2 linked regions of the Bombyx mori genome follow. The protein of the gene in region 1 purifies or fractionates together with the protein of each later gene. This does not show direct contact. Links are inferred from orthologs where the notes say so. Each region holds a gene or a part of one and is shown on either strand. Other genes may lie near its edges.

Evidence for each region. Proteins that work in one complex are often made in the same cells at the same time.
Region 2: the proteins of ALY (region 1) and mitochondrial matrix protein p33 purify together in Homo sapiens (affinity purification with mass spectrometry; 3 studies listed by BioGRID and IntAct, with this or other methods). This does not show direct contact. The link is inferred for Bombyx mori from reciprocal best matches to the Homo sapiens genes ALYREF and C1QBP.

What each region holds. Positions count from the first base shown.
Region 1 is NC_085114.1:10,512,158-10,516,342, forward strand, and holds ALY, read right to left. Parts: upstream 2,816-4,185; 5' UTR 2,759-2,815; coding exon 2,555-2,758; intron 1,905-2,554; coding exon 1,688-1,904; intron 1,610-1,687; coding exon 1,415-1,609; intron 783-1,414; coding exon 634-782; 3' UTR 530-633; downstream 1-529. Other genes in the region: replication factor C (activator 1) 5, read left to right, coding at 3,720-3,754, 3,843-3,907. UniProt on the Homo sapiens protein: Functions as an mRNA export adapter; component of the transcription/export (TREX) complex which is thought to couple mRNA transcription, processing and nuclear export, and specifically associates with spliced mRNA and not with unspliced pre-mRNA.
Region 2 is NC_085114.1:15,032,494-15,035,177, forward strand, and holds part of mitochondrial matrix protein p33, read right to left. Parts: intron 2,388-2,684; coding exon 2,237-2,387; intron 2,035-2,236; coding exon 1,838-2,034; intron 514-1,837; coding exon 425-513; intron 1-424.

The DNA of each region.
Region 1 (4,185 bases):
CACATCACCCCCGACCTGTGTGGCAGGGAGCTTCTGTCCAAGCAGTGGGGTTTGCCCGAGGCCCGTTCCGTGCCCCTGTAAGGGGGTACGACAACTCCTTTTATAAATGAACTTTGATGTTGCCGTAGCTTTAAATATGACTGTTGATGTGCTGAAATTGAGTGTAATGACCATGAAAATTTTTTGAAAAAGTATTTCTCATTGTTTTTGACAGACTTCCACATTGAACGAATAACATCACCAGTAGCTACGTATAATTTTTAACCTACACAGGTAGTGATGTTTGGAGGTGGAGCAGTGATACGCTTAAGATCTAGGCAGTTTCCAAATCGGCAGATGCCGAATGCAGATGCATTCACTGTAATACAGTTGAATTACGATAACCTCCTTAAAAATGTTTACACTTGTGTACACAACTACAGACTAAAAAGAAATCTATACAAGAAAATTTCAAATCTGGGTTTATTTATCCAATTTAATACATGTACTAGAATTATAATTTCTTTATAATTCGTAGTCTTTTATTAGTATAACCTATACTTTTACAATTAATCTAGAACATTGAGAACACAAAGCTTATTCATTCATATTTTAAGATAAAACTGAGTGTCTATGCACATTCTCATTAGTTATTCACTTGATTTCTTTCACATATGCATCAAGCTCTGCATCTAATTGTTCTGCAGTAGGTACTGGTCGTTTGCCTCTGCCTGCACCACCACGTCCTCTTCTGTTTCCCCCACGTGCTCCACTATTGCTTTGATTTCTAATTCCTCCACCTCCTTCAAAAATAAAATAATTAATGGATTTCTAGTAATTTGTAACTTGCAAACAGTAAAGTGAAAATGTACAACAAGAACTAGTGGGAAAATATCAGTTTTAAAAAAAGTAATTAATTTTAATAATGTTTTTTTAAATGAAGGATTTAGGGCCGGAGGCCTTTCCAGTTACACCACGAATGCTTAGCCAGAAGAGAAGGGTTTGCTAACAGTTGAACACCTCCGAAAGAGGTCTAACACAATTCATGGGCAGCTGCTTTGCAAATGAATCTACTACCAGATCAGTAGTCTGTCTATGGATTAGGTTGCACATCAAACTCTTTAGAGTTCAATGAGTATGGTTAGTGTTAAAGCAGGTGTCTAATGCAAGAGTTATTGGATCTGATGGATCCGTAATTATGTGTCTAGGACATCAACAGTTAGTCTCTGCTGTGGGTAGAAATAGTCAGCGGCAGCAACAATATGGCGATTATCATGACCAATGGCCTTATTGAAGTATCTTTCCGACAATAACTAGGTGTTTCCAGATTGATTCGACTAAGAGGCCATCTTGTATATGGTGATTTGTCACAAATCACAATGATGTAATTTGTTATCACTCCTCCCATACAAACAAATCCTGGAAAATATCTTACCTCTTTTAGGATTGTTTCGTATAGTACCTCCCACACTCGCACCACCAATTCGATTTCTAGCCTCGGGCCTTAAAGTATTGATTTCAGATGTTGCCAATTGTATATTCATTGCCCGTCCATCAAGTGGCACTCCGTTATACTGTTTCATAGCCTTCACAGCATCTGCTTTTCTTTCAAACACAACATCTGCAGTACCTAAAAAAATTTAAAAATATCTTGTATGATGAAATACTTAATGGAACAAACTAAGTTTTTATGCTTTGTGATACATACCTAAAGATCTACCTGACCGATCATAATGTACAGATGCACTTTTGAGGATGCCAAATTCCGAAAATAGTTCCTTTATATCTGAATCTGATACTCCAAAGTCCAAATTGGATACAAGCAGCTTGGTAGGACCAGTTGTTATGGTCCCACTGTTTCTTTGAAGTTTCCTCTCACCAAAATCATTGAACATATCATGTTTCCAAGTGCTGTTCACATCACCCTGAAAAGGTCATCCTTCATAGAGCTAGCCATGTGGCTACTCTCTATGCCTCCTTTGAATATAATAAAAACTCAAAGCTTAGGCACTAAAATTAATACATTGACATCTGAACCACTTGATAAAATAACATTTGATGTAGTTTACATGTTTTTTTTCGAAAATTAAAATATAGAACTGTTTTATCACTTTCATCACACAGACACAAGACTAATAAGTTATGAAGCACAACCAGTCTCAGCCGTCCATGGAGTCCATTTATTTACTTTTCAACTCCTGAAGTCAATTCTATAAATTGGTCAAAACTGCACTGTAGACATCTCCACAAAAGTAACGTTTTGCTCGAATTCATTACACTTTTATATCAGCATCCATCATAGAATTTTCCGGCAGATGTAGGTAAACAATGCAAAACAAAAACGTTGATGGAGATAACAATATGGTTGCTGGGATTATGGTTTCAAGTTGAAAATAGGTCGGATACGAATAAAATAAGGGTCTTGATTTGAATCAAAGTGTCAAATTTCGTCTAAAACTATTTCAACAAGATGGTCCATATGGTTGCTTGACTTTTTGAGAACAAATTAGATACATTGATGCGTCACATTTGCCCGCCATTTGTAATTTTAGAATCATCTAATTATTGGAATTACCCTCGAATAGTTGGTAGATTTCGTTATGCCTCCACGATTTCTACCTCGTTGTACACCACCAGAGCGGTTGCTACGAAATCCAGCACCGCCTCCACGTCCTGTTCTTTTGTTTGCATCAAATTTTCTTCCAGCACCACCTCCAATCCTTGTCTTTTTGTTGGCTTTTATAATATCATCCAGTGCCATTTCAATTTGATCAACCATGGTGATTATTTGAAATTCTAAATATTTTTTCTATGAAAATTAAGTCAAAAACAAAAACAATCCTTTTAGAACTCTTCCTTCCCAAGTAGACGGTGACAAAATGGCCGAAGAAAAGATTCGTTATTGCCAGATTGCTAATATTAGTTCAACAGTAGATTGAAAAAAATTGTTGAGCTTTAAATTTGGTAGAAATTATAGTCAATAAAGACTATCTTACACATCTGTCTTAGTTTATTTTATTTTACATTTACCAGTTGATTTGGTCAAATCTTTCTGTTTAAAAAATTAAGCGCTTAGTTTTAATCTTTAACTAGGTAATCAAATCACGTAATGCTAATGCACTCAAAATTCAAATATTAAGAAGTGTATTATTTATGGTTCGAGATTTTTGGCGCGAGGAGTGAAGTTGTGTGTTTTGTTTTATTTTGTCTATTTAGTGTTTCTCCAAGTTTAAATGTGTAATAACGGTGGTTTATAACCTGTTTAATATCTGTGAAAGTGCACAAATGTGGGAAAATTGAAACAAAGCCGCTGAGCATAACTTTTTGGGATCCTCTAAAAAGTCCACTGAAAAAGTCTCAGTAAATGACTACCATTTTACTGAGATTATATTTCATCCCATATCATCTCATCTCATTTCATTTCATTCCATTTCATTTTCATTTCATTTCATTTCATGTTATGTTTCATATTAATCAACTTCATTTCATTTCATAAATCATTTTACATATAAAAAATATATAAAAGATTACGCTTTATGGTATGATACCTTTGCCTTTCCAATAATATATTAAGTGTATAATCTATGAATAAAACTGCTACTACTATCTATGGTTCGAATTTTGAATTTTATAGTTTCCTCAAGCTTGTAAACCAATCCACAATTTAAATAAATCGTTTTTATTAAAGTATCTGTACTTACATACTAGAAGCGATTTAAAAATACTGTTATAAAAACAATATGACTGTTGGGGAAACAGGCCAAAATTTGCCATGGTATGAACTATCATTAACAATGATTTAAACAAAAAAATCATAACTCAATATATTTTACTACGACGATTAACACTTTGTTTTTACGCAGGGTTGAAAAATATCGCCCAAAAAGATTGGATGATTTAGTATCTCATGATGATATAATAAAAACAAGTAAGTATAAATTTCTGAAACTAATGATCACATTATTTTAAAGAGACTATCAAATTTAAGGCTATAAAAATTGGACTTGAATCAGGTTGATATTAAGTTGCTAACCGTAATACGAATACCTTATAACAGTTAATGCATAAACCCCCTCTTCGTACCAGTATGTTTTGTACATTGTAACATAAAGTAAAGGATTTTTCTTTTTGTTCTTCTAGAGTACTTTGTTTACATCTTAATTGAGGCAGCAGCCTTCCAACCACTACATCCCTATTTTTGTGAGA
Region 2 (2,684 bases), about 4.5 Mb from region 1:
CTTATGTGTTGTTTAATTTTACATAAAATTTGTGTCCAAGTGGCTTGAAACTAAAATTAAATCTCTCTAAGCAACTTGTAAGCTACTTACTAGAAAATACACATAGAGAGGTTGGCTTTCAGATCTTTTTGAGCTGATATAATAATATGTGAAACTAATATCTATACTAATATATCAATCTAGTGGTTTTTACGGATGTTCCGTTATAACTACTGAGCCATGCCGATTGACTTGAAACTTAGTATCCATGTAGAAAATACATGTACTTATATTTATATGAGTGTTGGACTCCCTAATAATAATGACAATAAATAATAATGTTAATTTTAAATCCCAAGCGAAGCGGGCGAGTACGGCTAGTATTATATAAAACCGACAAGATGCTGTATCTTACATACTAAATAAAGATGAATAGATAACATACCCCATCGAGCACATCACCAGCGACTGCATACACTTTGTCATTCCATTCACCCTTATATAGGGTTATTTCGTCAATGCCGAACACATCGTCTGAAAACACAATTTAAAAGTAGTTAAATTATAGTACTTAGTTTCCGTTGAAGTTGAGTTGATTAACTGCAATTACATTAGCCTACTAGCCTCTGAGAACTACTATGACCAAAGCTTACAGCATGGCCGGATCTGAACAAATCTTACGACTTAACATATCTTTTGCGTGAAGTGGAAATTTTCAATCATTTTTGCCCCTATAGAACTATAAAAATTATAATCTGGTATTTTGTATGTGATACCAAATAATTTATATTTGCAAAAAGCTCTGATCTTTTTTGTCTATAATGTGTTGATTCAATGCTAACAATGTCAATAATTGAATTATTTTTGCTTACATAGACTATTTTAATATATTTTCATTTTATTTTCAATAATCAAATTTACAGACAACTACTGTTAGATAAAGGCCTCCTGAAGGTCCAAAACAACCCCCAAAAAATCAAACCCGCAAAATTATAATTTGCATTATTACTGGTGGTAGGACCTCTTGTGAATCATCACGGGTAGGTACCACTACCCTGCCTATTTCTGCCGTGAAGCAGTAATGCGTTTCGGTTTGAATATATACTTGAGACCTTAGAACTTATATCTCAAGGTGGGTGACGCATTTACGTTGTAGATGTCTATGGGCTCCAGTAACCACTTAACACCACGTGGGCTGTGATATCGTCCACCCATCAAAGCAATAAAAAAAAAACATCGACATCATGCTGCTCAGATCTACTGGATTCTTGCTACCTTCACACCTTTAGTACTTCATCTAATACAACAGCAATTTTGATACCCCTATACACAGATCAAAAGTGAATAATGATGACACCTTGATATTTAAGATTGAGGTTATATATTAATTGTATTATGGCAGAAACAAAAAGGGAAAAAAGGAAAGGGGAGGGTGAGTCTTGACACATTCTTGCACTATCACCAAATTCTAAACTGAAATAAACTTTTTTCTTTGTAAATTGTATATCGACACTTGAAAGGCAAATGTGACTAAGCGACAGTGCGTGAACTTTACAGTAGACTAATTTAAAGTTGAAATATTTGAAAACAAAATTTATTTTAATGAATCTAGCTGTAGTAGAATCTAGCTAGTAGCTGTAGGATTGGAATGCTTTTAATAGACCTAGAAATATTTTTTTTTGTGCATTGAATATGGTTATTACCTATCATTTATGTACAAAGCAGTTATTGTCGCTTAGTCACGTTTGTCTTTCAAGCGTCGATATGGTAAACAGACTATTTTGACTTCTTAGTACTCAATCTTTAGACCCATTTGATTAATCAGAATCAAGAAATAATTAAGTTTATGTATACTCACTATATTCATCAGCAGAAGCTGCAGGTGGATCTTGAAGATAGGAGCAGGTGAAACCAAGGGTGGTGTCTCCTCGGACTAGGTCAACCTCAAACTGAGGTTTGGAACGCATCTCAGAGAACTCTTGCTTCTCAGTCTGAACATCACCCTCAAAGTCATCAGAGTCCACAGTGTGATTAACGTTGAATGTGACACGAATTCTGAAAAAAATATATAGTTAGACTTAAAATTTCACTATTTTTAATGATATTTCTGTGGGCTTGTTTCTTTAGTTTTTCGAATTTCAACAAATTGACGAAGATTGCTGGGCAGTAAAATAAGTATTTGGCAACATTTATTAACAACTGTTTCCCCAAAAAAAAATTATTCAATATTTCTCCTTCTCAAGATTTCATTACTTACGTTTCATCTTTAAGCTGCTTTGTTAAAACAACTTCAGCACCGTCTCCCTTTACAGTAAAGCCTTCGACTTCAGCAGGGAGAGACTTGACCTTCTGTGCTTTGCGTTCAGCAACTATTTCTTCTGTCAGGAACTCTACCAGTTCTCTTTCACCTGAATTTATATAAATTGGTTTTATTATGTACATTGAGAATGAAAATAAGTGCAATTTATTCTACAATACTGTAAAACATTCAATAAGTAGGTAATGAATTTTAATCAACAAACAACAAGTTTATAATACACAAACAAGGTATTTTTTTAATTTCTCTCATTTCACTACTATTTTATTAACTACAACAACTACATTAGATTTACATTACTCTTGATTATAATGATGAATAGTAATAACTGCAGATCAACAGAGAAAATCCAACTATACTATTCAACACTATATTTCATTGTGCCTGT